Linked DNA regions of Oreochromis niloticus. Each later gene encodes a partner of the first gene's protein in a complex. Links are inferred from orthologs where the notes say so. Each region holds a gene or a part of one and is shown on either strand. Other genes may lie near its edges. The genes, in order: polr1e and polr1f.

Region 1 (15,736 bases):
CTGCGAGGGCAGCCGATGATCAAAGAGCTCAAGCTTTAAGAAGAAACAGCTTCCACTCTGAAAAAATGATCAAATAGTGGATGATTAGTTCTACTTACTGTTCAAAATATGTTTTGCTGACTGAAGTAAATCCATGCAGTGTTGCAACTGTCTCCTTTTTCTTTAGTCTTCAGTTTCACATTTTTTAGTTTGGCATTCTAGAGTGCTGTGAAAAAGTTTTTGCCCACTTCCTGATTTCTGATTTTGAAATTATATGAAAAAAAAAAGTGATTCAAACCTATTTGGCCCTGGGTGAAAAAATGATTGCCCCGATAAACCTAGGAACTGGTTTCCCACCCTTGGCAGCAAGAACTGCATAGAGTTTTACTCATCGCTGTGGAGGAATTTCAGCTCACTCCTCTTTGCAGAATTGTTTTATTACACCCACATATAGGGTTGGCGCATGAACAGCCTGGTTCAGATCATTGTACTGCTGCATAACCCAAGCGTGGGGAAAAACTGATAGCCGGACATTCTCCTTCAGGATTCAGGATCAAGCCTAAGAAATGGCTCTGTAACCCTTTCCACCCTGATAGGTGTCAGTGACATTGCTTCTCAGCTGCTCATGGCATGTTGCGTTGATTTTTGGGATCTTTTAGCCTGGTTAGCTTTGTGAGACAGCTTCTATGTTGGCAATTTCTTGAATCAACAGGTCTTGCAGTAATCAGGCCTGAGTGTGGATAAGGAAATTGAACTCAACTGATTAACCACACTTTTTTTGGAAAGCTATTTCTTAATTTAACAAACAAAAAACAATTTTGTATTTACTCAAGTTATTTTGTCTTATGTTAGAATTAGTTTGATGATCGAACACACGCGTGAAAAATATTAAAAAAAAAGAAATCAGGAAGGGGGCCAAGGCTTTTTCGCAGCACTGTATATGATAAGAAGGTTGCACGCAAACTGAATTTCATAGCATTTTTATTCAGCCTATACAACACCTGAACATACTATACAATCTTCAAAGTCTTCAACAGTAAAGAGACAAACATTTAGCCACCCCATGGTTACACTACAGACGTTATACAGAAAACAAAAACAAAAAACAAACGAAATCCCCCCCAAACCTTTCAATTTTGGCATATCAACAAAAGCCCGGCTTTACAAGCTAGAGGGCATAAGGCAGTGACTTTAATAATCAATTCAGACTTTTATACACATTTCTTTCTAAGAAATCAAACATCTTCATACAGAGGGTAGTTCAGTCAGTGCAGTTTTAATAATAATTTAATAATTAATACAACAGCCGTAGAAGACAGCACCTAACCTGCTTGTGTGGCATGTAAACAGTCAAACCTTTGCCTGATCCCATATCTACCTTTGTATTTTTCAAAAGCCTGCTACAGCTACCTCGCTTCATGATGAGAGAAGAAGCTGAATGTGAGTGAGAGTCAGAGCAACAGACTAAATTTTAGTCAGATTAAAGACTAAACCATCACTGGTCATTTTAAATGACTTTAATAGAGTTCTGAATTAAATTTACAGGGAAAATAACTTTAAATAACTTTTTTCTTTTTAAAAAGTGTCATTTTGTAAAGGGCTAACAGTGTGATGACTCTACAGTACAACAAGGTGCCAACTAGGATTGAAAGCAATGATCCTGCCTCACTGACAGCTCAAGTGTCACAATACACCAATCATTAAAGTATACAAAAAGCAAACATGTTAATTAATGTATTTTTTTTCCCCATTCCAGTTCACTAAAACAGAACTCTACAACACAGCATGAACACGGTTTCAAAAAACATACTGCCATCCAGAGAGGCTGTTTTTCAACCTGCAGGATGTCTGCTAGAAAACCTTCATGTGATATTATTTTTGTAAATCCTGTCTATACTTTTATTTAAGCTTACACAAATCCTCAGTTGTAACATAGTTGACTTGTAACTTACAGCATTCCCCAACATTTATCAAGTTACATTAAAATACAGCTACATAAAACACAAAATTTCTTGTAATTAACAAAAAAATAAAAACATTAAAATCTTTTTTTTTAAAAATTACTTTCTCCATGTGAAATATTCCTTTAGTGATGTTACATTTTTCTAGACTAGTGGAACTTTGTTTTCATTTCCAGCACAACAGAATAAGAAAGGAAGAAGGAAGATCATAAGAGCTGGGTGAGCCGGATGGTTGGATTACAATGAAGATGTCGTCACATAGTTCAACATTCCAGTAAACATTATTAGCTGTAAAAAAAGACTGATTTGTCTCAGTGTTTTTGTATCAGGCGCAACATTATATGTAAAGAGACACGTATAAAGCACTCATATCAAGTACAGTAGCAAACATACACACAATGTTTACATCTTTAGGAGTTGTTTTGTCTCCTCTCCAAAGGACTTACCAGAAATGTGCAATACAGTATTTACATGTCGAAATATTTTTTTTCCCCCAACACATGCTGAACTCGTCACTGAAACTTCGCCGTTCTTTCAATAAACACACAACACCGAGAAGCTACGGCTGAAAGTCACGTAGTGCCATATTTTTACAATCACAATAAACTGTTTTATGAATTTGGACAGAAAAATACGTTTGTTTTTTTTAAACCTTTCTCCTGATTGCCGTAATAATTTTACGTCAGTAAACAATGAAACTTCACTCTACGGTAAACAGTTGTGGTGGAAGGGTAATCAGGGTAATTCAGAATTTTCCCCCTACAAGTATAAATGTTTTAAAGTGAGGCTGTTACTCTTGCAGACATATGTCACATGAAGGCCTCCATGAGTACATTTTGAATTATTTGGCCTTTTACCAAAAACATTTTCAACATTAAAATGAGCCCAGCAACAACGTCAGTGACAGACTGAAAATCAACCATAGACGACGATCATGTCACGTTAATTTGACTTGAATTAGTCACTGCTCGATTCCTCATGATGACTATTAATTAACAAAGTACTGATGACATTTCACCGCATGACAGAATACAAACACTGTTACAACACTACATACTCTGTCGCCTTCTCTGCTGGTTGAACTGTTAAAATGCTACAGATTTCAGCATTACCCAGGTCTCTCCCACACACTGGATTATCTCTGCCTTTTTTTGCTTGCATCTAATAAACCATTAGATTTTAGCACTTACACGCATAATGGCGACCAACGTGGATGAATGTGAATGGATGTGACGGGCCGTGCACAGAACAAGGCACAGTCAATAATGTCAGCTGCTACATGTTTTTACAATTATGCACTGAATATGAATTTAAATACAATATTTTACATGATGTCAGTCTTTAGTGCTGATGTTGCACAGCTGCCTCTGAGTGTTGCAATGACTGAATCGAATTTACTTCCAAGTGTACCACTAACAATGAATCGGCACTAAAGGATCACCTCAAATGGTGAAGACACTCATCTTGAAGTTTCATAATGGGAGTTCACTAACCAAAGGGTGATGTCACAGCAGCTACGTCCATCTTTTACGCTGTGTTATGCTCACAAAATTGTTAAAAGGTGTTTTTTCCTTTTAAATTTTTCACTTATTGGCCATTATCAATGCCAAATGGTAAATAGCCAGTATTGGCTGATATATCGGCCTACATCCCTATAATCTTTCTATAGGGTTAATTTTTTAACAGAAACTTTATCAACTGGTCTTGGAGAAGATAATGTTACATATTCATATTAAGTTACCTTTTCATCCCCATCTTTGGTCTGTGATCAGGATCAGTTAGTTTAGACAGAGCGGATAACAAAACTGGCCGTTCAGTCAGAGCTTCAGAAACATTTTTATAACAGCTTTGTGACTTTAAAGGCAGCTACACTGATTCCTAGTGTTTTAATCTCCACACTCTGCTCCTACAGCAGGGCATTGGACATGTTACTGTTCTGCCAGCGCAGACAGGTGGTCTTGGAATGCTTGTATAGGTGTGAAGACTGGCTGAAGCGTTTTCCACACTTCAGACATGCGTAGGGTTTCTCTCCCGTGTGGACACGGATGTGTTTCTTGCAGTCAGTCAGGGTGAGGAATGTTTTGCAGCAGATTTTGCAGGCATATTTTCGTGCTCCTTCAACCACTAGGACATTGTGCTCTGAGAGAGCCTTTTTGCACTTGGACAGAACGTCTGCTGAGGCCCGGGTGAGCTGAGGGGGGAGGGAGGTGGGCCTGTTGCCACTCATCTCATACCCTCCGTTCTCATTGAGGAGCAGGGGACCCGGTAGACTTGATGAAGAGGAGGCAGCATCCTGAAGAATCCCCCCTACTGCCTCTTCTCCTCCCATGCCAGTGGTCATTTTTGGAGCAATGCGTCTGTAGCCTGGATAACTCAGACCTGTGCCGCTGACTCCTCCTGTCTCTCTTGAGGGCCGTCCCAGTGAATGAAGCCCCAAACTTGAGCGCTGGAATTCCAAATCAAAAGGATCCACTCCTCCACGTCCTCCTCTTGAATTTCCCCCATTTCCTCTGGGGTTTCCTAAACCATCATGCAGGGGGCGGAGGAACAGAGAATCGGCTTGCAGATTATCTCCAAAACTGCTTCTACTCTCACCACTGAGTGGGCCTGATTGCAAAAGAGAGGAAGAAGCAGAGCCAGAAGTGCCAGCAGCTTCCTGCCTCAGCAGAAAGCGATGTGCTACTGCATCCCCAGTTGTTGTGTTCGGAAGGTCGTCCTCTCCGGCAACCATCCCTGAGCTGCCAGTCGCAAAATCCTTTTGGCTGAGGAAGCTGGAAATGCTGAACCCAGGTTTGCCACTCAGTCCAAAACCACCTCCGTTCGCGCCTCCTCCTCCTATACTGCTCTTGAGGATGAGCTGGGAGCTGGGCTGGAGAAGAGAGTCGGAGCTGGGCTGGGGTTCAGAAGTGAAGCTGCGGTCGCTGCTCTCTGGGCTCAGCTCCACCTTCTCTTCGTCCTCCTGGCACCCAGGCTCAGGAGGATCACTGCCTTCGGCCTGCGATGTGACGTCGCTAATTTCATCAGCTGGCTCGGGAGAACTTAGCGGCTCACGTTTAACAACCACCTAAGAAAAGCAAGAAAAGGAAAGAAATGTTTCATCTAAGGCCAAGGGAGATAAGACCTCAAATTTTAATGTAAGAATTAATATTCACAACACTGCCTAAAGGTCTCACAGTTGGACAGAATTTTATTGTGGGGACACTTCTCACAGAAACCTCAGAGCCAGCTCCCGAATGGGTAACATCAGATGCTGTAAAATAATCTCTTGAACAAGCCTGCTTTGCCTTACCAAGACGTTGTATTTTTTCTAGCATTTCATTTCGAAATAAAGAGTTAACATCCAACCATTTCCCCATTCTTCTGTCACAGTGCGATGCTACTTTGTTGACGTGTGTCGTCTTAGCAGCTGTAACAGTAATTTGCAGGTCCAGGGTGGCGTATTAAGCCATGGTGATAAATTCCTCTATATAAGTTGTAAAACGAATAAAACCTCTAAAGTTAATCATAAATACTTTTTTCTAACTCTAACCTATAATTGGAAATACTTAGTGGAAAATTAACAAGTTAACTTTTGCAAGAAATGGCTTCTTCGCCATTACTGCTACTGCTGCAGAGTGTGTGTGTGTGTGTGTGTGTGTGTGTGTGTGTGTGCGTGTGGGTGGGTGGTATCGACAATAGTATGGAGCTTCGAGTAGTGTTCTGATGATTGGTATCAGTAGTGTGGAATTCTAGTACCGTGACAACCTTACAATTGACACTTGATATAGATATTCAAAACTTGGAATTATTGTTATAATCTGTCCTTATTTGACTTATTTAATCATTCCATACTGTTAAATGACAATTTGGGGTTATTTAAAATCTATACTGGACAGTCTTTTCAGGCTAAAGTAGGTACTCTGCAGTGCTGTGGTACAGTTTACAGTAATGAAGTGCAGGATGGGTGTTCACGATCACTGTTAGGACTGGTTATGACAGCTAGAAACTCGATGGCCGAGTTGTCCCTCCTGTTTATACTTCTTTGAAGTCTGCTTGAACTCTTCTGCCTGGGGTGTGTGTGTAGTTCATGGACTGTAATGTCAATTATCTGCACATTAGTTAACGAGGCCACAAAAACGCTGGTCAAATTTATGTCTGTTGGATCCAAGTAGATGCGGAAAATGTAATCAAGGCTTCAGGGTAATAGTCATTAGTTTGAATTTAAGTTGATGACATTCTTTACTACCCTTCACCTGCCAATCTCCACCTTTAGACATTACACCGCCCAAAGGTTGGAGAGTGGCCACGACAGCTCATGTAACATCTGTTAATATCTCGTAAATTGCAGCAAGCAAAACCCACAAAGACCAGTGAACCTCAGAGCCAGCACAGGTCAGCTGTCACAGTCCATCCGCAAGGAAATCAAATCCTCAGAACAGAAATTATGTGTGACTCTTTTCTAAGTGAGTCATTTTCCCCTGCTGCATTGCTACACCCGATCTTATGACTTCCCTCTTCTGTCCAATCCCTTAACCCCTGGTTGCATTAATGACATTCAAACCAACAATTTCTGTTAAGTTTGTTTACTTCATACAGACAAGCCTGAGAGGTCTGGAGAGTTTTATCTATGGAAATATTCCTGCCCACTGAAGAGACAAATCTGTAGCTTTACCTTCTGCTCCTCTTCTTCGTTCTCCTCCTCCTCTGTTCCTGATTTTATTTTCACCCCTGCTCTGCTGTCCTGCTGATCCTGGTCATCCATGTCCTCTTCTTTGTTTACTCCTTGAATTCTCCCCAAGTTCTCCTCCTCGCAGCGTCCACTATCTGACTGACTCGGCATCTGAGGGTCATCTTGGGAAGCAGCTGCTAACCCAGTGATCGCAGGGTCAAGTTTAGATTCGTCCCCCATCTTGTGGGAATCTGGGGAGAGAAGTGCTCCATCCTCCCGCTCTGCGTTCACCCCTTCTTCTCCTAACAACCCGAGGTTAGGCGCCGAAGGACGCTGTCTCTGTCTGGGTCTCTCCTCTGAAAGCCCCAACGCCAGAGAGGGCTTTCGTTTGTGGAAGCGTCGGATTGGGAAGGAGGCCCTCTGGTCAACCACCCTACTGCCAACTACATTTCCCGCCCGGTCGTCTTCCATCCCACCCAAAGCAGAGCTCACCAAGCTGAGCCCCAGCTGCTGCAGTAAGAAGGAGCGCTGCAGCTTTGAAGTGGCAGCATTTGCTGCAAGGTTAGCATTAGCTGCTAATGTCGGGTTCACTGCTAAATCAGCTACTTGCTGATGCTGCTGCTGTCTGTGCCTCTGCTGCTCCTGCTGTGGGTGGTGATGGGCAGCTCTGTCGGATGAGGGGGACATGGGCAGCGTGCGTGTTGTCAGGTAGTGTTTGCAAGCCTTGACCACATTGTTGAGGTGCAGATGCGAAGCTGCGAGGAGAACATCCATGACATTGCTCTCCCCGAGCATCAGTGTCGACGTGTACATCATGTCCACGAGAGCGGCAAAGGCCTCGGCCGTCACCACCTGCAGAACGCACACAGTGGTTTCAATCACCATTAGAATGACTAAAAACACTTTTTTCGCTTTTTTGACAGCGTTTTCTTTCTAACCTCGCTGTCCAGCTGGATCATGTTCATGCTAGCATCTCCCTCTGCGACAGTGAACAGCGCTCTGAAGTGGGTGCTGCAGGCCGCCAGCACGGAGCGGTGGGCTTTAAAGTGTCGGCTGCCTACCACGATGACACAGTCGCAAAGCTGGCCATGGACACGCTGATAGTTCAGCTGCTGGAAGATCTGCTCAAAATGGCCTGGGAAATCCATGGCCCTGCAGACAGAGGAGCAGAGGGTAGGTGAGTTATGCAGAACCACAGTCAGTTAGCAAAGATCAGGTGATCTACTGATGTCACTGCATCTGACCAATCAGCAGCGACCTGGAGCTTTTCAAACTTCACTGTTCTTCCACAAATTGGGAAATTCAGTTTACTGCCCCTACGTACTCTTACCCTTATCATCATAATGCCCAAACCAATAGTTCTAAGTTAATTGCTGTATTACAAGAAACAGACTGTATGTAGTTGCCAACTTGACCCCATTCAGTAGCACACTGACTGCAGCTTGCTTGCTTGACAATCCATTATGCATTAAAAAAAGAATAAAAAACTTAAGTAAGATGAAGTTATCTTACTGGATAAAACAATTGGGGACAAAGTGATAAATCACAATATGTGTCACTTCAACACTTGTCACACTTCAAAATGTTAAAAAAAAAAAGTTTATTTATCGAAGTAAGACAGGAGAGGATGGAGAGAGGTTAGATTTTAAAAGGTAAGGACTGCTCCGTGACATTTAACCGACTGGGAAGTTAAAGCTGAAACATAACATCCTCATTCATTTTAGACACTTGTGAACTGATACCAGATCTATACCTGATGTGTCGCTTATGTTAAGTGTATACTAACTTTTTGCTATTCCAAGGTTGCATGAAAAGGCAGTGTATGGCAGGGTAAACCAGTTAATCTGCGGTACTGTGGAGAAGTTTACAGATGTGGCGTTTATGGTCACTGTAACAAGGAAACATGTCAATTTAAAGTTATACTAAGGAGATTAATTCACTGAATTCCACCTTTATAGTGTGTAGGGGTGTCAGAAATCTGCCCTGACAGCCAACAAGAGCAGCAACTCAGGTCAGCTGATCCCAGCCCGAAAACAAAGAAAATTTCATTGTGCTTACAATAAAAATTACTTCCAAGTGATGCTGCACTACAAAACTAGAGATCTCACACCTACTCGAGTCAAACTTAAACCCACGATTATGCTCATTTGCATCAGTTTGCATCTGAATTTGGGCTGAATTAATGTTTGAACTCCCATAATATTGTTTTATTCTTATATTATTAATGAAGTTAAGTTAGCTTTGCACAAAACAGCTGATAGAAATGTCCTCCAAATAGCTCATTTTCACTGTATTTCGGAGTCTGAATGCAGCACTTCATTATTTTTGGAAACAAGTATGTGTATTTCTACATTTCTGAGTACCTGTGGATGCAGTCTACGATGTCTGAATGGTGATGGGGGAGAAGTTGGATCAGTTTTTGTATTTACTGGCTAACAGCCAGGATGCCGTGGTACTGTCATTTTATTTCGCTTACTGATTACTGTGCACCAAATGTTGCGTTTTCCACTGCCTTTGCCTTCTTGCTATAAAGTCATATATTGACGAACAGGTCTAACTTTATTGGACCCCATCGTCTTTACACACATTTAACGTCACAACTGCACTGGAACACAATAGCATGGGATGCGACTCGGTAAAATGGCACAAAAGAAGCAGTCTGCTGGTACTGTAAGTCAGAGCAGAGAGCCAGCAGTACTTTAGGTTACCTTGAAAAATCCGGAAAATGCAGGTATCGAGAGGGAGAACAGGGCCCCGATTAGCTAAAGTTAGCTGGCTGCAGCCCAGCAAATAGCCCGTTAGCTAGAGTAAAAGCAGCGGCATGCGGTCACCGAGACTGGCCCACAAAATGTCCCCTCAAGCCGAGCTGTGGATAGCTAACATTTCCGCTGCTACCTCTCGCGTCCCCCTGCGGTCGACTTCCTGACGGTTTGACCCCGAAGCGGCTCGTTTGGTTTTGGCCGTGGGAACGTAAAGCTGGCCGCGATGGACGGTGCCGCGGTGTCCGTTGATCTCCAGCGCCTGCCAGGCTGAGCACACAGCCACGGCGCCAGAATAACCGTTAGAATAATATTAATGCCTTCTATCAATTGGTAAGCGGTAGCGTCATGCTGTGTTGTGTTTTCTAATATTTCCCCCCGCCGACAGACGGTTTTTCCAACCAGACTCACGGGGCGGCGCTGTACCTCTTTTTCGCGTCCATGACCTCACCCGAGGTGAAAAGCTGCAGCTTTACGGTTTCACCACAAGGTGTCGCTGCTGCATCCCCACACACAACCAGTTAGCCAAAGATTATAAACAGCATCGAGATGGTAAATGCTTTGGCATTTTTATTTTTTTAAAGCCCGTATAAAGGATAATCCTATAATCCAGTGAACAAAGACATGGCAGAAGGAACAGTACAGGCAAAATAAAGAAATGCACCAGGTAAAGTATCCACAACAAAACTGGAGAAATTAGAGCAGCGGCTTGGCGAAGCGAACACGGAAGTACAGAGGAGTAAACTCTTGCCCTGCATGAAAACTCATCATGACAACAGTCATGGCCGCCTCCTGCTCGTTTGTGTGCTGCGGAGAGGAGAGAGAAGCCGATAAAGCTGTCGTCGGTGAGTATTCCTCATTTGTTTATTATGTAGAATTTTTCACGGGGATGATGATGATGACACATGACTCTGGGTTGGGCTTTGTAGAGTTTATATTTTTAAAGCATTTAGGTGCACACGTGGGCACTATACCGTGTTGTTGTGTCCGAGGCTCTCACGTGTGTCACTGTACAGTCACATCGGTCATTGAGGTTTGATCACGTATAATTCCCGGTGTTTCTGTCTCAATCCCACAGTCCGCTTTTCTAACGGCAGCGTCCAAAATGCAGACAAGCTGGATTTCAGCATGTTGAAGAACACGGAGGAAAGTAACCCCAGGAAAAAGACCAGGCGGATACTGGTGAGGAAGATGAGGAGTGTGTCTGCACTCTCCGGGCTGTGTTGGTATACTCTCAGTGTTCTTCCTGGTTTATTTTATTTAGGTTGCCGAGTCAGACAGACTGTCCTATGTGGGGCAGAACTTTGGAGTGGGGTCCATGAAGTGCAATAATCTTTGCAAGTAGGTCTTTGCTGCACATTTTGGCATGTTATGGTCACCGAGGAGGAGATTGATAAGGAGGATGTTTGGCATCTCTTTAGATATTATGTGGGCGTGCTGAACAAGCAGACCATGACGATGGAGGTGCACGAAGCTCAGCTGTTCAACATGCAACCAGTTATACCAGGTAAGAGAGCTATAACATATCTGTTGCTATTTTTAACTGCCCACAAAGACCAGAAGCTGTGGAAGGAATGCTTTGTGTGCCTTCTGAGAGTCGCTTTTTATGACTTTTGTCACCAGGAGAGACAACAGACAGTGCAAAACCCCAGGACACTACTCAGACCTACAGAGAAAAGGTGCATTTGCTGCTGCTGTCTGTCCATTAAAAGACATCTGTGCTTAATTATGTGTAATGTGATGTGAATATCCTGTTATTACCTTTAATGTTTCCCTTTCAGGTTGACTTATTGATTGAGGCCTTTGGTACCAACAAGCAGAAGAGAGCTCTGAGCTCTCGCAGGCTGAATCAGGTGGGCAGTGAAACCCTTCAGCAAGCAGTGGCAAAGGCTGCCAACACTGTGATTGGCGAGAAGGGTCTGGAAGGTAAGCTGCACAGTGGATGCCTCTCTTCGGAGAAATCCGAAAGAATGTTTCTCTTTCCATGTTTTTTTTTCTTAACCTTCCCTCTCTGCACAGCTTTGCAGCAAGAAGTGGCTGACGCAGAGTCGCAAGGAGACCTGGCTCTGCACCTTCCCCCCTGCAATGCAAACGCAGACAAACGAGAGGACGTCTATCCATTTGATGAGCGTATCTTTTATTCCTGTGCTGGAGGAGGAATGTGTTTATGGAAATAGGAAGGCAAGGAATCCATTTGAATCCCAGATTACAAGATGGGGTACTAGCGTATGCATGTGTTTGCAGGTTTTTATCTAGAGCTGTACCAGACTTTGTTCAGGTGACCCTTAACCGAATATCTGCAGTCTTGAGCCCAGTGGAGTTTGGTGCTTTGGAGCAGGGTGGTGCCAAAATGGCAGCACTCACCCCCGAAGAGCTGAAGAAGATGAAAGATGATGGAAGGTAGGGGCAACAAAACCTTCAGAGACATTTTATTAATGTGTTCTTGCACTTGAGGTTGATCTTGTGCTTTTTATCTTTAACCTAAAGGTGCCTGAGTATTGTGAAGCATCTAGAGAATCTGCCAACTGAAAGTGAAAGCCGAGACAAAACAGCACGCTGTGCTTTCTACCTCTCTCTGCTCCTCAAACTGGCTCGGGAGAGGAACATCACCCGCAAGTGTGAGTGAATTTTGTTAGTATTATGATGTGGAAAGTGGTATACAAACTTTCACCATTAGAGGGTTGTAGTAATTCATGTTTGCATGTACAGTTGGGCAAGAGGAAGGCTGCCCTCGCATCATCCAGGGCAAACTCTTTAAAACGTTCACCGTGGAGACCTTCAACAATGGCAGGTATGGTGGTTAAACACATGTAGCTAATGAAGAAAAATGTTTCTGGAATTTGATTTTGTTTCACTAAATTAATAATTTCATTAGTAATTCAAAAATTTACCAAATGCTAAACCGAGACAGGGAAGCTAAATAATATATACAGTTCTAAGAAGTTTACATACACTCATCATGAGCATGAATGTCGTGGTAATTTTGGGCTTTTAATTGTGTGAGGCATTCACACTATTGAGATCCTGTTTCTCTTTAAACTTTATTCCTCTACCTTATTCTAGTTGCTCCGACCTTTGCTGGTTAATTACTCCCTCAGTTTTCATCTGATTTTCACCATTCAAATTTCCAACTGTTCTGCTCTTTCTGCTAATGCCAGCTATATCTTTTGGTGCTCATAACTTTTATACTTTTTGAGATATTAAGCTTTTTATGCCATTTTTTGGCCCATTTTGCTGAATGGGACCACATTATCAGTGTGATCACCAGTTTTGCTTGCCGGGCTGAGCCATGTTTTGGCTCAGTGAGATGAGCAGCCGTTCTCAGACCAGGAGGGCCGGGTCAAATCCCGCTTATGGCAGCATTTTATTCAGTAAACAGTTCAACTGTTTTAACTCTTTTCAAAACAGTTTTCAGTGTCTTCACCTCTTCAGCACAAATTTCATTTTTTTCATCTCTTTTTTGCTGAACATTCAGCTTCTTCGCCTCTTTTCAGCAGAAAGTTCAGCTTCTTCACCTCTTTTAAGCACAAATTTCAGTTTCTTCACCTCTTTTCAGCACAAAGTTCAGCTTCTTCTGCACAGTGCACATTGTTTTTCTCATTATATCTCTGATTGGCACTAGAACTGGTTTAGCTCAGTGGGATGAGCAGCTGCTATGAGATCCGGTGGCGAAGGTTCAAATCCTACCTGTGGCGGTTGCCACACATGTTCCCCCGCTTGCATGCACTCAGCTTTCTTGACACTCTTCACTGTACCCTTTCAAATTCAGCAAGCACTTCAGCTTCTACAACTCTTTTCAGCAGATAGTTCTGCTTCTTCTGCTGTTTTCAGCAGATTCCACTACACGCCATTCACACTGCATTTTCCCAGGAAATGCAACTTTTTCCAGTTACTTCTTTTAACTGTTCTTTTCTCAGCGTGGAATGATTGTACAGCATACACCTAGATACACTCACTTAAATAATTTAGTAAGTGTTGTTAAAGGTTCTACAATGTATTTTAACAAAGTTAAGGCCTATTAGCTTCTCGATAGTGGTCATGATTGACTACATCTTTTAGTTTCTCTTTGCAGCATAAGAAGGGTTTGTTTGATAGCACCAACTGGATTGAATAATACTCAGAATAATACAAAAGTCCAAGAAACTAATTGAAGATCTAAGAAAGAGAACTGTAGTTTCTTGGACACCCTCGAAAGAACTACAGATTCCAACATCATCAGTTTAAACAGCTGATATGTCATCACTTTTCCAAAAATGTCACCCTCATAGGAGAGAAGGTGGGCTAGGACAGTCAGGAACAACCCAGAAACCACCATGGCTTAAGCCTGCCATGAACTGGAAACCGCTGGAACACCAGCATCACTGTCCACAGTGAAGCACCTTTTTCATTGCCATGGACTGAGAGGGTGCCAACCAACAAAGAAGCCCCAAACACACATTAAAACTGGTTTTAGAATGAATAAAGCAGGCTAACATTAAGCCTCTGGAATTGCCTTTCAAAAAAACAAAAAAACCCCCAACTCACCCTGTTTAAATTTGTTCAGTGTGCTTTAAAGCCAGGCAACTAACAAAGTTAAATGAACTTTACCAATTCTACCAAAAAGAGTGGTCAAATATTCAGCCAGAATTACACCAGAAGCTTCTTGAGGGCTGCCAAAAAAAATCTCATATTAGTACAACTTACTAAGGGACATTAACCAAATATTAGTGGGGATGTGTGTGTGTGTGTGTATGTATTTGAATCTGTATGCATACATTTGACCTATGTGGATTTCAGAAAATCCCAAATAAATTTAAACTTGTGCACCTAATTTTTGTTTAACTATAAGTTATTAAAGGTGCATGCTTTACTATCATTTCACTCTGGAAAACAGTTCAAATAAATAATGAAAAAAAAAAAAAAAAAAAAAAAAAAATCGCCAAATTATTTATGGCAGACATTCATGGCCATGATGAGCTTATGTAAACATCTGACCACAACAGTGTATTTGTTGCTGCACTGATTCTTTTCAAAAGATGCACTTTCTTTACTTTAACTTTTCTGTTTAGAATCCAGAACATGGTGTCATCGTCAATGCGGGTCAAACTAGCAGCATACTGCTTAGCTCTGCTGCTGCATATGGGTAACATGACAGCTGACCTCACATTACTGCATCGTGACCTGGGAATCACTGAGGCAAGGTAAGCAGGGGAATAAAAAGGAAGCCTTTAAAAATTATTTCTTACATTTCATACATTGTTTAAATAAAGAGTAAAATCATTAATGAAGTCAATAATGTGGACTTAACCACACATACTACTATCCTCCTTCTTTACTCTGTAGTTTTTGTTTAAACTGTAAACTATTGTGATTCTTGTGCTCTCCTATAGGATGACTGAAGTCGCAAAGTCAATGAGACTGACCTTGGTGAAACCAGCCCGAGGCAAGGGTGATAACATTGAACTACAAGATGACAGCAGACTGGCCGCCCTCGTTCTGCCTCTGATCAAATACGATCACTTCACTGAGAGACGGAAACGCAAAAAGATGCACTGAGGACGCAAAGGAGAACCGAGAACTGGACAGAAAGAAATGAATATCAAACAAATGGCTGCATTAAACAAGGCTTGTTTATTAATGCTTTTGTAGACAAATAAAGTGAACTTCAAGTCGAACGTGACAAGCTTACATTTAAAGATAAAAAAAAAAAGACTAAAGAGCTGTAAACAAATTCTAGATGACAGAACATCTAGCAGGAACGTATAGGCACGTTTGTAGACATCACATATTGCACACTACATATCTTCCCCTTCTGAGTGTGTGGACAGGATATCTTGATAACGGACTTCCTCTTCTGTCTGCTGGTCTCTTTTTTTTGGCTTTTTTTTTTTTTTTTTTTTTTTTTTTACAAATGCAGACAAATTAAATAAGCTGTTAAAAAAGCTAAACTGTCATCAGACAATAGTGGATGGTTGTGAGATTATATTTCGGCAAATGCAAACCATCAAATGTGATTGGTTGGTCGAACTTAAGTGCAGGTGGACTACAAATGGAACTATAAAGCTTAGACTACCAACAGTTTTTTTTTTTTTTGCATAATCATATGCAGATATCTGTTTAGTTTTCTCTGCAGCATGTTGACAGGATCTGAAATAATGAGATGTCTCAAAAAGCGAAGTGCATTAAGTTTTAAAAACCACAAAGGACATTACGCAAGAAGAGACCCGCCAACAGACAGGACAGAGACAGAATCTTAGTTTTGGCTTAGTTGCATAAACGCCCTCACGCTATGAAAACACCTTCCCTCGCTACAGCCATCCCTTAAATAGTCAACCAAGGCACAGCTTTACTTTGACCCACTGTCAAAGCCAGCATTTCTGAAGCCTTTGACTCCTGCTAGGATTTAGAAA
Region 2 (15,901 bases), on another chromosome or scaffold:
GATTCCAGCAGTGTAGATGAAGTTCCTGCAAAGATGTTATGCAATGGGTCGTCTGCGAGTTCAACCACACAGCTGTTGAGCTCTGTCTGCTGAGTCAGCCACCCAGCTGTCCAAGAGTTTCAGTCTTCTTTCGGGACCTGGGAATTATGGTAACCCACTGACCGGTGACTTTAGAGGACACTGACTCTCCAACCTTTAGTGTCTTATTGTGTTGAAACAGTGTGCATTAATAATTTATCATTTCTGCAACTTTGGATTAAGTTTCAGAACAGTGGAGCAGTTTGGGGTTGTTGTTTTTTTGCAATGAACAGCAAACCTGAATCGTGAGACTTTTTGTAAAACAGAAGAATTGTCTGTTTAAAAGATTTCCAGTTTTGAAAGCAGGCAGAGCCCTAAAATGATCAAATCTAATCTAAAATGATATATTCTAATCTATCTACTGTCTAATTACCTGATTAGGAGAATAGGGCAGTATAGTTATAAGATTGTAAGAATGTTTTTACAGTGAAACAAGAAACTAAACCAGAATTTTAAACTGGCAAATATTATCCTAGAAAGTACATATTAGGCAGCTTAATGACCTAAATTTCACATGAAGATTTGTGTGTATGTGTGTGTGTGCGTCAGCTCAACAACTTGATCCATAGGTAGGAGACTTTATAAAGAGCTGAAAGCTCTTGAGGGACTCTAATAAGTGCACCTGGCTCTTAGAAATATTTATCCATCCATTTTCTTCTCCTTATCCAATTATCTAAGGTTAGGGTGGGGCTGGAGTTTATCCCAGCTGCCATAGGGCGAGAGGCGAGGTAAACCCTGGACGCGAGGCTAACACGGAGAGGCTGTCTAGAAACATTTATATATTAAATAATAATAAGCAGACAGTGTAAATTATCCTGAAATAAAAAATAAGAGGGCATATCTCCTTTTTCCACCAACATCCTTCTGGAAATGTTATTTTTAGAGGGAGAATCTCAATGACTGTTATTTTCAGCATTTCCCATTGTTGCATCAGGGACGGGTGCCATAAAAAAGAAACATCTAAAAATTTCTCATGACAAACTAACTTGAACTCACAGAGGTGTTAATTTACTAACTTGTTGACTTTCTTTGTTTCCAGTTTCTGGTCTGCGGGATGTGCGGAGTGCTGTGTGCTCGAAAGAGGACTGGCCTTATTGTAAGTACATACATACTGAATGAGCTCGGTTTATTTCTCCAAGTAATTTCCTTTTTTTAATGCCTGTTAGTCTGTAGTGTACAAACAACAGGAGCCCTATGTGAATGCAGTGAAATGATATGATGCATGGGTGGGGTACCAAAATCCGACTTTAAACACACTCCAGGTCATTAGTTAGTGATTCACTTTTAGGCAGTTTGTACTGAGCTATTTCCAGGATGGTACCAGTTTCTAGGAATTAGGCAGAGACACCAGGAAATAGTTCGAGAAGGCCTGCAGCCTTTGCTAGAGGTAGAAGGTGGATTTTGGTTTTTTTAGCTTTGAACCGAGCCAGGTTGTTTTCTTGTTTCTACCTTTTATGCTGAGCTCAGTCCAGCTAACTGTCATGTGCCTGGGAGCCTTTTTCATTACGTATTTGCTGGAATTATGATGCAGATGTCTTCTGTTGTGGATATCAGATGCAAAGTCAACTGTATCAGGAATACTGAACGCAAAGCATACACAAGGTCTGCATATTCGACAATGAAAGAACTCCCAAAGGTGTGTGTGTGTGTGTTGCAGCAGGTGCAGTCAGTGTGCTCTGAGAGAGACATCTGAGGAAATAAGAGGAGACAAGCAGTCACCTCTCTTCTCTTTCTGTCGCTCTTTCTGTCTTTTTTACAGTCTCTCAGTGTCTCCCAGTCCTGGTGTTTCTCTCTGACTCCCTGTCTCCTGCAGGGAGGAGACTAATGATGGATCAATGTCAGCACAATCTGCTGTAACAGAGACATCACTCAACCTTTCTTTCCCTCCATCTCACCCTGTCCAACTTTTGTCTCCCTGTCTATCTCCTCCTACTCATGCTTTCCCTTTTTTTCATCACTATATCTATCCATCTGCCTCTTCCATTCACTCTGTCCCCGCCGTCATCTTCCTCCAGCGCCCTCCCCATGTCTGCCTGTGGGGTGATGATTACATTAGGTTGGTTTGGCTCCGGACCCCTGCCAGCCACTTTCCACACTTCCCTGGGTAACGACTGAAATAGGAGATGCCCTTTTCCATGTGGTTAAAGGCACTACCGGCATCTGCACAGGGGGCGGTGAACGAGGGCTTGCACTCCAGATGGAATACAAACACATTCACAATTAGTGGGAAGTATATGAATCATCTGGATTTTATTATCTTGATAAGAAGATGATGGAAGTCTAACCATTTTCTCATCAGATTTTACCCCGAAACAAATAAATAAAAAGATGAAAAAATCAGATTCTGAAACTGGGATTTAGTTTTCCCGGTTCTGATCACAATTTCCGGAGAAGTAATCCGTAAAATGCGATTCATTAAACACACAAATCAGACACAAACACACAAATACAGCAAGTGAGTGATGCAAGCATATTTACAAGCCGCACATCGCTCCTGGAACAGACAGTCGGCTTTGAGAGTGATCCAATTTTCTAATGGCGAATGAGATTTATTTTGACTGATAGGCATTACTCATCGCCGCAGCCTCGTTCCAAAACAGCAGAATGATGGAGATGGAAGCTCAGTAGTAATTTGTATATCTCCGGTCTCATTGCATTTTGTCACTTGGTTTACAGATTTGTTGATAAGGTCTCAATTTTGCAGCTTACCCCCCTTGTCTTTCAGATGATCCTCTTTTCAGCGTGCTGCATCTGTGGGCTCATTGCCGGGATCTTAAACGTCCAGTTTGTTCGGGCACTGAACAAACGGCCGGACAAGATGCAAACAATCCACCTGGCTGCAATGACTCTGGCTTGTCTAGGTAAAAATAATAACAAGGATGCAAGACGTAACACAATCTGATGTGACACAATTGAAAACAATTCATGTCTTTGTCTATTTTTCATTGTAAGACCAGAATGTTATTAGTCTCTGTTCAAGTATTTGAAAGGGACTAAATGTGGGGGTAAAGATAAAGCATCTCTTTATTAGTCACCTGTCAATACTAACAGTATACCAAGCATTTCTTATTACTGCTAATCACATTTATCTCAGCTCTATCTCAACAACTCTCCAGTGCTCCAACACCCTACCCAAACAAGCTTTGTCAGTTTTATTCAGATAAGAAGTGCCTCTCTATTTCTTTTCTGAAGGTCTGCCGGTATACTAGTCGCTCCATGAGGTTGTGCTTGGAGCTAAATGTTGATACCAATGTTAATATGGATATTTAGTAGGTACGTAACAGTTTTAGCATGCAAACCACATTAGGGACATAATATTTGCTAGTTAGCGATACATCAAAGTCATTTTAGCTTAGAGAAAATGTCAGGGATTAAATGCCCTAAAAGTCTCTGAATGGGGCCATAATTTCAAAAGTAATCAACCAGCAATTGAGTCCATAAGCCCATTAGGAGAGAATTTACCGAGGACATAAATCAAGAGTGAGGTAGTTTAATTTTCTCATAGATATTATTATAATGTAGGGACCAGACCCCCCACACACACACACTCACAATTCGAATTGGACAAGTGGAAGAAAATGGATGGCTTGATAACTAAATAACTGAAATCAAACGAGGCATTGCAACGTTGGCTTCACTTGTACCCGAAGGCTACATCCATCTTTTATGCAGTCCATATACAGACTTTGGCTGAGACATAGAACTTCATAAGTGAAACTCTTTCCATACTAGCACTAAAAAATAGAAATCAGACGATCATCCAGCACAGTATGTTTTATCCTCTGGGGACTGAGTCTTTTTCTGTGCACTTCTGTGTAAAATTTCCTTTTCCTGTCTTATCCAGGGATCTCGACCTGTACCTTATCCACGTGGCTGACTTGTCGCCTGGCAAGCTCGGAGCAGCAAAGGATGTTCTTGGAGAGGGAACACTCGCTACATCATTCCCATGAGATGACAGAGAAGGTAGTAAACTGCATGATTCATCTTCAGCCGCTGTTGGAAGTGTTTGTTAAGCAGGTTTGTGTTTGTGTGTCTCTAACAGGAGGTCCTGGACAACTCCAGTAATGGTATTCCTCAGATCTCCTATAATGGACACACCGCGGCGTCTCCTTGAGGAAGTTTCAGCAGGAGATGATTTGCAGTCTTAAACAGGAGCAGTTACTAAAACTCATGCTGTCACGCAGCTAATGCAGCTTGTAGTAGACTGCGTTTAACTGTATCCTGACTGCAGGGACTGAACCAAATTTGTCGCCTTGGAACCCGTTTACCTGCTGACTGAGTGAAGCGGACGGCATGAAGGAGCCGTTTGTGCTTCTGAATATTATGCAAACATGGGTTCAAATACCTTCGGTTTAACTCACACCAAAGCCGGGATGGTGAGCTGCCGTTTGGATGACAAATGAGGTGACAGACATCTGCGTGAAATCCTCCAATTTGTGAGCGGGAAGGATACATTTCATCCAGTCAGATCAAAGTGATGAGCACAAACCAAGCATGCAGCTGATTCACTTGTTTAGAAGAGCTATTTCAGTCTCATCGTCCTTATTCTCTCCCTCTCTGTCATGTTATTGGTTTATGGAATCCAGATCTTGAGATAGCCTTTGGTAAACTGTATGTATCATCTGATAATGGAATGCTTTGAGAGAAAAAAATTACAGTAATGCACAATGTACTGTATGTATCCATGCTTGTAAATCAAACATATTTTTATAATGCTTCTTATAAAGTTCATTCAATTAAAGTACGACTAATAAAAGAATTGCACAGTCTTGCATTTTGTTTTACTGTTGCTCTGTTAAATACATGTTGAGATGAATCTGGTTTTATGATCGCTGTTTATGCAGACTAGCCTTTTTTTTACTTACATAGTTGCCAGTTTGTGTGTTTATAGTACATGAACATGCATGTTTGTGGAAGTGTGTTTGTGTTTGTGAAGTATGTGAGGTTTAAGTAAAATTGTGATGGGAATTACTTTTCAGTTCGTAAGCCAGATTTCAGCATTTTAATCAATACACTACATCATTGTAGGTGATAGTAACACCCAAAGGTTAAAATAACACACTGAAAAATCGCACTACGAAGAACCGTATTTAAATGACTCAGTCATATTAACGAAATCCAGGTGGGGTTTTTTTCAAAACACACATTAGAGAGCAACCATCTCACACCTTGTGGGCGGTCTGCAAGCTCGGGTCCTCTACCAGAACCTGGGAGCTTGAGGGTCCTGCGCAGTATCTTTGCTGTTTCTAGGACTGTGCTCTTCTGTACACAGATCTTGGGTGTTGTTCCTGGGATCTGCTGGAGCTACTCGCCCTGTTCAGGGAGTCACTGCACCGAGTAATCCGATTACCACTGGGATCACTGTTACTTTCACCCTCCACATCTTCTCGAGTTCCTCTCTCAGCCATTGGTACTTCTCGAGCTTCTCGTGATCCTTCTTCCTAATTCCTATCACTCGGTATACAGCCGTCTTGCTCTGCTTGTCCACCACTACTATGTCCGGTTGGTTAGCCATCACCAGTTTGTCTGTCTGTATCTGGAAGTCCCACAGGATCTTAGCTTGGTCATTCTCGACAACCCAGGGGGTGTGTCCCATTTTGATCTTGGGACTTCAAGGTGATACTCAGCACGGATGTTTCTGTATACTATGTTGGCCACTTGGTTATGGCGTTCCACGTATGCCATGCCTGTTAGCATCTTGCATCCTGCTGTTATGTGTTGGACTGTCTCAGGGGCATCTTTACACAGCCTACACCTGTGGTCTTGCCTGGTGTGGTAGACCCCAGCCTCTATCAATCCTGTGCTTAGAATTTCTCTATAACTGACAATGGCACATGCCGTGCAGGGGCCTGTCCTTCCATGATGGTTCCTCTTCTTGCTCCTCTTCTTTCTGGGAATACTGCTGCCTGAATGCCTGGATATTTATTTACTATCCTGGATAGTGTTTCTGAAACTCTGTGCTCTTCTGCCTCCTTCCTTCTGCTTAGAGTAAAGTCTCAGGGAGCTGGACTTGGGGTGAAACCAAAGCCATGATATTCTCTTCCAGGTCAGCTGTTCTTGCATTCAAAGTACCAGTTGTTTTGGGGGGCTTGATACCCAGAAAGTGTGGAGATGATGACATTCCTCTGACATAATGTCCCCTTATTTTTTGTGTTGTACCTAATCAGTCACTCATTGCAATAGCAGTTGCATCTTGTGGATGTTGGAGCACTGAAGTTCAAGTTTGATGTTTGTCTAGATGCTGGTTGTCAAAGAACCCATAGATCCCACATCCTCATGTAATCCCTGTGTAATACCATCCAGCAGTTATCTATTTTTGCTTGTCCACTCATGCCTTATACTTCTTCTTTTATTTTATGTGCCATTTTATTCACTGAGTCATTTACAAACTATGTACTTATGCATTATTTCCTCTACCACATTTGTCCCCAATATATTTCCTGTCTCTATTTTTTAATTTAACATTTTTAATTTCTTTATCCAGTATGGTTCTTTTATAACTAAGCTATTAAATAATGAAAAAATCAGTAAATAACAAGGGAAGTTATATAGGAAAATGCATAGCAGGAGAATTAATAGAGACTGAATTAAATACAAAGAAAATGATCAAAATGATCAAAATCCATGTTGATGGTTATAATGACAATAATATATTTGTTGGGTTGAATTTTAGATTTTGGCAGTTCCAGTCCTTCATAGCATCATCAATTCAGAAAGCCACTGCATTCTCATGAGACCACAGTTTAAGGCAATGATGATGCTGTTCAGGGTTCCCACACTTGTCGTAAAGTTAAGTGACAAAGTAAATCAGTTTCATAGCACCCGTCAGACCTGCAAGCTTAAAATGCTTCACAAAGGAGGAAGAGCAATAAAAACCTGTTTCCTCCACACAGATGCTTGCACACAGACACAGCTGTGACCTCTTATGAAGATAAGCTCTGACAACATCATTGCTGCTCAGCACCTCATTACAGTGTTCGCCAACTCCAGAGAGAAGCTCCAAACAGAGATGTGTGTGCATCTGTGTGCATTTATGCATGTTTGTGTGCTGACTGGGGCCCACAGCAGCAGAAGCCACAGGGAGCTAAGAAACCATGCACTATTTATCACCGTGACAACAGACAGGAAAGGGCCATGGCTCCTAACAGAGCACCGGGTCTGCGATTCCTGTGAGAGTGTGTGTGATAAAGAGAGAGAAACGCTGAATCATGTGACCTCCTGCGGTGCTGCCCTGTCAGAAAACAGTAACACTAGATACATCTGTGCATGTGTCAGGATATTTTCAGTGTATGCCTGTGTGTATGGCTGGACACGCTGCACTAGTTGCACTAATTGACACCTCAGGTCACCCTAATGATCTTAATGTGGCTCTGCGGGTGAGAATGGGATACAGAATCAATGATCACCTCCTACCACACGAGCTCCCTAACAGCATCCCTGCCAGGCCTATCAGGGCCGAACTTGTAGATTACATAACAAAGGGCATCAGGTAACTTACGTAAGCATCATAACAGCTACTTACAACAGCAAAGCCACATGGTGCTCGTTTTAATTTGCTAAAATTTTGTCTAAAGCTAAAAGTGATGCTGGCGAATGCCTGAGCCTACTTCTGCAGGAGGTTTCTTCCTGTTAAAGAGGAGTTCTTCCTTCCCACTGCCGCCAGGTGCTTGCTCAGATGAAACATATTTATCTGTGGCTGCAGTTACTTTGCAGGGCTAAATTTAATTTACAAATTTAAAATGTGAAAATGAAATAGCCACTCGGAATAAGTTCACCATGTTACACAGGACATTCATTATTTAAACTAACAGACAGTTTGGCCACATGCAATATTTAAATCCATCAACATGTTATGCCAGGAAACATTAAAGCATTACTGCACACAGACTATCCATGAACAGCCATTAAGTCTGCAGTCACTCATTTATCATCGTTAAACAGTGTAAAAGTGTTTTGATGATGATTCAGTCTGTGCTCTGCAGACAAAAGGGGCAGTAAGTTATACAATTCTTCATATTTTCTAATTATTTCAAGGTTTTTAGAATATTTCTGTGTCTAAAAAACTATTAAACACAATACTTTTTGACAATCATTACGTAAAGATAGTGAATGGGATCTAAAATAAACTATGAAATAAGCTTGCAGTATGAAGTTTGTGGGGTGCGCTTCTCTTCTTCACCAGCAGGGGGCAACAATAACAAATGCAAAGCGGAAGTCACCTCTTGTTTGTCTTCCGGTCTTTCTACGCAACATGGCGAATTTGGAGCATGGTGAAGACAACCCAAAACATGTGAGAATGTCCGGTGAAACTCCCGACGCGTCCGTCCCGGACCAGGCGGCCCAAGAGACCCCAGCACCGGTAAACACTGCTGCCGCCCTCCCGTTATCGATCCCGTCGTTCGCCGCTGCCTCCGAGCTGTTGTCAGCGCCGTACTCGTGTCTGGTCATGAACACCCACCGGAGACACATCGCCCTGCCGCCCGTGTATCTGAACAAGAAGAAGACGGGGATAAAGGAGGAGCTGGAGGCCGAGCTGCTCAAGTTCTCTCAAAGGTGCTTCTTTTTTTCCCCCGCCGACGATTTTATCCAGTCAATAAAGCATTTTCAGCCGGACAGTCCACTTTCCCACGTACGCAAACACGCACACGAGCTGGGATGTCTTCTAGCCGTCTCGTGTGTTGTAAAAGTTCATGAACCTAGTAGCTACGCATGAAACGCAGACTTTCAGCTTTAATTCAGGGACTTTAACAAAATCAGTGCATTGTTTGTCCGGAAAATACAGCCATAGACACATAATCTAACTCCGTTTAAATGTGTTTTTAAATCCCTTACAGTCAATGAGTGCCTAAAGTCTAAAAGTCATGAACATCACATCACCAACTGCGGTTTCTTCCTTTGAGAAGCTCTAGCAGGTCTTTACTGCAGCCAGCAGTTGCTGCTTATTTGTGGGCAATAACTGCATTCAATTGTTAGTTCAGTAACTGAAAACCTGCTGTATTTGGTAGAGATCAGGTAACTTGGCCATTGACGATTATCTCTGCTCTTTCCCTCGGGAAACCCTTGGGGATTTGCAGTGTGCTTCGGGTCATTGTCCATTTGCACTGTAAAGCACTGGCTGATTAGTTTTGCAGCATTTGTCTGAATCTGAGCAGAGACGATCCCCAGGTCGTCCTGCTGTCACATTATCTATAAACACCAGCGATGCAGCTCCACAGGCAGCCATGCATGCTCATGCTTTAATACTTCCTCCACCGGGTTGACAGATGATTTTGCTCTCTCTTATAGCTTTACTTTGGTTTCTCAGCCTGATGAAGATCATCTTTGTGTGCACTGATATCTCTTTGGGCCACATAATGATAATTCCAGGGAACAGCTACAAAATACAAGTTTAAAATTCTTTATTCTCCAGATCCTTTATCCTTTATCTGCTTAATTTATTGTTTAACAGAGAGAGCAGGCCTCTCCTGGCTAAAAACAGACACCTGTTACTCAGTGTTACTGAACTGTCCCGTTACTTGTGAGCCTCTGAAAATTGAGGATTAAACAGTTAATGTAGTTATTTTGTTAAACCCCTCCGAGTTAAAGTTTATAATCTGAACTTGAATCACATCTTAATGGTTTGTTTTAGAATCCACTGTGGTGCTCTGCAGAGGTAAAAGTACAAACAATGTGTGATTGTCTGCAAAATGTATTTTATGCATGAATCACTGAGCGTGGCCTCGGTGAGGCATTAAAACCAGTAATGGTAACGCAAAAAGGTTTTTCAGTTTAAATAAACTGTTAATGCACAAGATGACCTCGTTACTGTTGTGTCTTTCAGTCTGAACGGAGTCCCCTTAGCCTACGACGACATCAGGATAGTGAGACACCTCGGAGACATTTACGACGACAGCGGCTACATCCACGTGGACGTGGAAGCCAGCTTTATTGTTTTTCAGCCGCAAAAAGGACAAAAACTACGGGTGAGATTTACATTTACATTATTTAGTAGAAGCGGAGAAGCTGACGGGACTTTACCTGACATATAGTGTCTGTTAAACGAGACCTGCACTTTTCAGTGTTTACTATTGTTGTAATATTCAAACAAGTGACATATTAAAACCTGCTGCTCTGAGGCGTACCTGTATTTTGTGGGAGTGATAAAGTGCCTCTGATAAAATACAATAACTAACAGCGTGTATCACGTATTTGTCTGTTTGTAGGGTAAGGTAAATAAACTGGGAATAAGCCACGTAGGCTGCTTGGTGCACGGCTGCTTCAATGCCAGCATTCCCAGACCGAATCTGGTTTCTGTGGAAACATGGAGAGACGCGGGGCCGAGGATCGGATCAGAGGTGGAGTTTGATGTGACGGCGCTCGACGCCGACACTGCTGGGGTGCTGCTGATCAGAGGACGACTGGACAAGACCAGGCAAGTGTGCAGTATCAGTGATGGTGATTTTAGTAGCTTCGGGGCAAAACTAAAGGCCCCAGTGTACTCGTCACTTTGTGCACTGCCGGTAGCATCATCACACGAGTAGCCACTGCAGTATTCTCCTGAACGATAGGCGAGCAACTCAGACCTTCACATCAGCGCTGGTATGGGAGGAGAAAAAGTCAAAGCGACGTTAAACAGCACGATTGTACACTTGTGTCTTCAGCCCGGCTGAGCAATGTATGACTACATGTACTGAACAAGGCATTTAGTCAACAAAATCCAAATGTACAACAAAATTGTCTCTGAATCACATTTCATCTGGACTGTGGAGATAAAGAGAGTAACAACAATTCAAATTCTGAATCATCTACAAGATCAAAACAAGTTTAAAACTGAATCTAACGTTATAGGAAGAGAGCGCAGGCAGGATGGAGACGAGTGTTGGGGCTGATTTATGACAGAAGGAAAGAAGCAAGAGTGAAAAGGAAGGTTTATAAGATGACCTGCTCTGATGTATGGCTCTGAGATGGTGGCGCTGACGAAAAGAGAGGAGGCTGAGTTCGAAATGTTAAGATTTTCACTGGAAGTGCCCAGAATGGACAGGATTAGAAATGAGAAAATCAGAGGGACAGCTCCGGTTGAGCGGTACATGTGCAGAGGAGGGATGCTGGATATATGGGACAAAGGATGCTGAAGATGGAGCTGCCTGAGAGGAGGAAAACAGGAAGACCTCAGAGGAGGAGGATGCTAGAGATGCTATGCTCCCTTTAGGAGTTGCTACATCACTGAAGATGAAAATGAAGAAGTCTAACTTTATAGGTGAAACAGGTTTTAGATGTTCTGTGTGCATATCCCTCCTGTATTGATTGTTTTTGTCTTTGTGTGCCTCAGGGTGCAGGAGCTGCTGGCCATGTGTGAGGGCACAGAAACCAGTGTGCCTGCAGGCGAGGAGGGCACAGAAACCAGTGTGCCTGCAGGCGAGGAGGACCCAGAACCCACCCAGGATGCTTCTGAAGAAACCCCGAAGAAGAAAAAGAAAAAAAAGAAAGTCAAAGAAGAGGAGATAGAAGAGGAGATACCAACCATATCTGCATGCCAGCTGGACAACGGTGTAACACCAGAGCCGAATGGGATAAGGGATGAGGTAAACGGCAATGAAACCGGAGAGAACAAAAAGAAGAAGAAAAAGAAGAAGGAAAAACGTATAAAAGAAGAGGAGGAGGAGATGGATGTCTCTCACGTGGCGGTCCACGGGAGCGACTCCAGCGGTTACGTAAGTGACAAGCCAAGCAAGAAAAGGAAACGTGAATCGGGACACGATGTGACATCATCGTTTAGTGAAGATCCCGACCCGGTGAAACCAAAAAAAAAGAGAAAAGTCAAAATAGAGCAGCATGCCTAAAAAATGGTATCTTTACAAATTAAGTGAAACATTTGGAATAATCAAGGACATACTGAGTGTGTTAGTGATAGCGATGGCCCTGGAGGAATATTCTGACCTGTGCCTTAACCATGAAAGAGCCTGATTGTCATCCCAACGTTGGCTCCTTCTCGCCTTCATAAACAGAATGTCGGACATGCAAGAGAACATGGAAATGAGAGATCAGGAGCCGGCTTGACAAAGATTCCTCACTGGATTGTAGTTCCAGCCTTCGCCACATGGCGGAGCCAAACTGCTGCTTACAATCAGTCTGGCTGACAAAAATCCAGAGGCGAAAACTCACCAGCAGAGACGGTTTGATCATCTTTTGCTATGCTGCTGTTTTTATGTTTTCTCATGTTCAGCATTTAAGAAACAAAAGCCAAATGACTAATGCCGCCCAGCTCAGTTCAAGACTTTGGCTCGTGCTTCCATACAGTTCTTAAACAAATTGTTCTGAGTGTGACCGCAAAGCAAGGAGAGCACGTTTTACTTAAATCCACAGTAATTAGTGAAAGGTCTGGAAATAAATCAGGCACAGTGACAGTGAAGCTATGAAATATTACTTTTGTGTCACTCACTTTTGTCTTTTCATGGATTTTTCTTTGACCGAGAGCAGAAATTAGCTGACAATAAAAATTATATATTGTTCTCACCCTTTTAAAGAGTTCTTTATTTTGATATTTTGTCATGATGTCTACTTTTCAGTGACAATTTGACACACCTGTGCTTTGCAAACACACTCATGAACAGCGCTTCGATTCAGTGAGACATAAATTCCTGTATTTTTGCAGTTTGCAGTGGAAAATTTTGCAGCTAGCTCTTTTGCTTTGACCGGTGGGAGTCGAGTGATAAAAAGCTGAGAGATAAGACTAAAGAGCTAAGTGTTTTCTTTACTCCCCCCCCACACACACACACAGAGTGAGGGAGAGAAATCCCCCTGCTTTTCAGTGGGGAGTCTAATTAGCTGTTAGGTGCTAAGAGTTGGAGAGCTTATCGGAAGCTGCCTAAGAGGAGAGATAAGGGGATGCGATTAACTTGGCTCATCTTCATCAGTCACACCTGATCTTACTTTTCTGTCATCTGCATGAGCTGCACCATCTGTGTGTGCATCTTTTTTGGGTGGACAGATAGGAGAACACTGCAGAGAGCCATTCAATGCTGTTAGTCACCACACGATGGTTAAAAGAACTAAAAAAGAAAAAAGGGCTGCTTGTATCCAAAGCATGCAGTCTGAGAAGAAACAACAGCAAAACTTCATTGTGAAATTTTTTTTTAACTGTTTATCAATCATACACTAATAGCAAAACAAGAAAAACTTGCCAAATATTTCAATTTAAAAAAAACCCAAAATAAGCTTTTAAAGGTTCAGTTGTCTGTTACCAAATAAAATCAGCTTCAAGAACTTGGTCCAGGAATCCAGTTATAAACAGCTTTTTAACGCAACCTCAGACTTACTGGAATAAAATATGAGCACGTCAGTATTTATCAAGGGCTCTGTGGGGAAAACATTTACTCACATCTATTTCTGAAGCAATGGTCATCAGCCAGTTAGCTGATAACCCAATGTTTAACTTTAAGACTGGAAACACCTGTTCTGTCCAAAGCCAGGGTTCTCAAAGTGTGGGCCGTGAGCCGGTGGTGGGTCTCTAGGTCAAAACAAAGAAAAGGGGGCACTACCTGCACTGCCAAAATAAGACGAAGGGAGCGCTGTGCCTTTATTTGTCCATAGCAAACGAAACCTTCCTAACACTGAAATAATGTAACATCTGCAGTCATCTGAAAGGAAACTTTTTGCAGGGCTGTACAGTGCTGTGAAAAACTAAGTACATCCCACGATTAAACAGCTTACAGAACCACCTTTGGCAGCAATAACTTAAACTGCTTTCTGTATGACTTTGTCAGTCTGTGATATCGTGGAGGAATACACAGTGTTGCTTAATTTTATTGAGGTTTGCAGAGATGTTTTTAAGCACAGCTCTCTTAAGGTTGGAGGAGGAGAATCAAGGTGCTGCAATGACCCGGTCCTTCTGTTGTAGATTCACTGCTGTGCTTGGGAACATTGTCCTGTTGCATGAACCAGACTGGCTCGAGCTTTAGCTGTCGGACAGATGGTCTCGCATTAGACTCTAGAATGCTTAATTTTATTAACTATTCTTGTTAATAATACTTAATAAACAGAAGAGTTTGCAATTGACTCAATAACTGTCCACGTCCTGTCACTGCAAAACAAGCCCAAATCAACACGTCTCCACCTCCGTGCCTGATAGCTGATACTGTATTCGGCGTTTGGTGTTCACCAAATGTGGCGCTGTGCATTATTGGCCAAACATCTCCAAATGGAGATCTCTCAAAATCTAAGTTTTGTTGTAGGGTCTGGACTTTTACCTTGATTCTTTTCTTTTTCAGCCATTGCTGTACTTTTAATCATCGTCCTGTTGCTTTACTAGTCAGACAGATGGTCTCAAGTTTGATTCTTGAATACTTTGGTCCACAGAGGAGTTCATGGTCGACTGAGTGACTGCCAGGTCTATTTGGTCTCGTCTGACCAAAAGGACGATGCTCCAGTAGTCCTGTAGTTTGTTCAGATCCACCTTTATAAACCCAAGCCACAATGTCATGTTCTTCTTATAGAGAAGAGGTTTCTTCTGGAAAGCCTTCCAAAGAAGGCTGTCATAAACTTTAAATTTTAACTTGCTAACTGAGATTTGTAGTCTGAGATGTAGCTCTACTTTTTTGTTTTTTTGTCATTTTTCTGAGCATTGCATGGTCTGATGTTGGGATGAATTTGCTGAGATGTCCGCTTTGGCAGATTAGCAATTGTCTTGAATGTTTTCCGCTTGCTAGTGATCAGTAAAGTGCACTTGATTAGCTGCACTCGCTGCTGCTTATCTTCTTAATTCCTATGCAAGCAGTAAGGACAGACCTATTTTTTGACAGGGCTGCACAAAGTCCCGTGAAAACTTTCTGTCTCACAAGACTGTACTTCACTAATGGTTAACAAAAAAAAAGAAAAACAAACATTTCAGCATAAAAATGTCAGTTACCAACATAAACCATCATCTCCTCAACAGACACAATAAAAACATTAACTCAAGCTGTTTGAGGTGTATATGTTGGCTTCCTAAACTGGCACTCAGTCATTAAAACTGTGAGAAACCCTGCAGGTTATCATAGCATGTCTAAAAGTTACAGATAAAGACATTATATCATCTTTGTTTAACCTGTGCAAGAACCAAAGTGTAGGAAAAAATGAAAAGAAAAAAAAATTGGCATTTTACAGAGAATTATGATTATCAGACTATTTCTTGGCTGGGATCAGCTACTTCCTGGAGTCTCTGCTGGTTCCCTAGCATCTAATGTAAGCCCAGAAATAGTTTGCATTTTTAAAGACTTAATCGTGGCATTAACCCTTACATCCAAACCTCAGTGAAAGGGTGAAAGAGCATATTTCACAACACATCAAGCTGTTCCTTTAATGAATTGTCAGAATTCCTATTTTTTATGACTTGGCTTGAAAAGAAAATCTTTGATAAAGACATTTTTTACAAGTTATTAAGTGTGAGTAAGTAGATAGCGTTGACCCAAAATAACCCGAGTGTTTCACACTGGCACACAAAATACATACATATAAATGCTCGCATTACACATATTTCCTTCCTCAGCAGAAAAACCCAACTACTCCTTTTAAAAGTTTTCACCGTCTTGCGTTCTTGTAATCACGCAGTCATTACAGCGTTCCCAGAATGCCGTGGATGACCTCAAATTGCACAACTGTGAAAATACACAAAACACTTGTAATCTTAAAGCCATTTAGAAACAATTATGTGAGAAGTTCAAGTGATTGTTCGCTGTAATCCGTCCTGCCGTGACCTCCTTCGTGCGTCTTCACTTTCATTCGCCCAGTTCCAACCCCAGCCCGGGTGCACCTCTCTTGCACCTGTGCCCTCCCCTCCCTCCATCTTCGCTCATTCTTCTTGTCATTC

What was found.
Region 2: polr1e (region 1) and polr1f share a complex: the UniProt entries of both Homo sapiens proteins name them as parts of the RNA polymerase I (Pol I) complex. The link is inferred for Oreochromis niloticus from reciprocal best matches to the Homo sapiens genes POLR1E and POLR1F.

Annotation. Positions count from the first base shown.
Region 1 is NC_031971.2:22,557,698-22,573,433, forward strand, and holds polr1e (DNA-directed RNA polymerase I subunit RPA49), read left to right. Parts: upstream 1-10,050; 5' UTR 10,051-10,116; coding exon 10,117-10,192; intron 10,193-10,425; coding exon 10,426-10,529; intron 10,530-10,611; coding exon 10,612-10,688; intron 10,689-10,768; coding exon 10,769-10,854; intron 10,855-10,970; coding exon 10,971-11,026; intron 11,027-11,128; coding exon 11,129-11,273; intron 11,274-11,366; coding exon 11,367-11,477; intron 11,478-11,650; coding exon 11,651-11,747; intron 11,748-11,834; coding exon 11,835-11,965; intron 11,966-12,056; coding exon 12,057-12,138; intron 12,139-14,395; coding exon 14,396-14,527; intron 14,528-14,716; coding exon 14,717-14,882; 3' UTR 14,883-15,026; downstream 15,027-15,736. Other genes in the region: grhprb (glyoxylate reductase/hydroxypyruvate reductase), read left to right, coding at 1-39; zbtb5 (zinc finger and BTB domain-containing protein 5), read right to left, coding at 3,847-5,004, 6,580-7,440, 7,527-7,740, 9,759-9,790. UniProt on the Homo sapiens protein: Component of RNA polymerase I (Pol I), a DNA-dependent RNA polymerase which synthesizes ribosomal RNA precursors using the four ribonucleoside triphosphates as substrates.
Region 2 is NC_031985.2:23,847,200-23,863,100, forward strand, and holds polr1f (DNA-directed RNA polymerase I subunit RPA43), read left to right. Parts: upstream 1-8,298; 5' UTR 8,299-8,329; coding exon 8,330-8,631; intron 8,632-9,898; coding exon 9,899-10,040; intron 10,041-10,280; coding exon 10,281-10,489; intron 10,490-11,386; coding exon 11,387-11,897; 3' UTR 11,898-12,570; downstream 12,571-15,901. Other genes in the region: tmem196 (transmembrane protein 196), read left to right, coding at 1,118-1,174, 2,804-2,939, 3,923-4,041, 4,121-4,192. UniProt on the Homo sapiens protein: Component of RNA polymerase I (Pol I), a DNA-dependent RNA polymerase which synthesizes ribosomal RNA precursors using the four ribonucleoside triphosphates as substrates.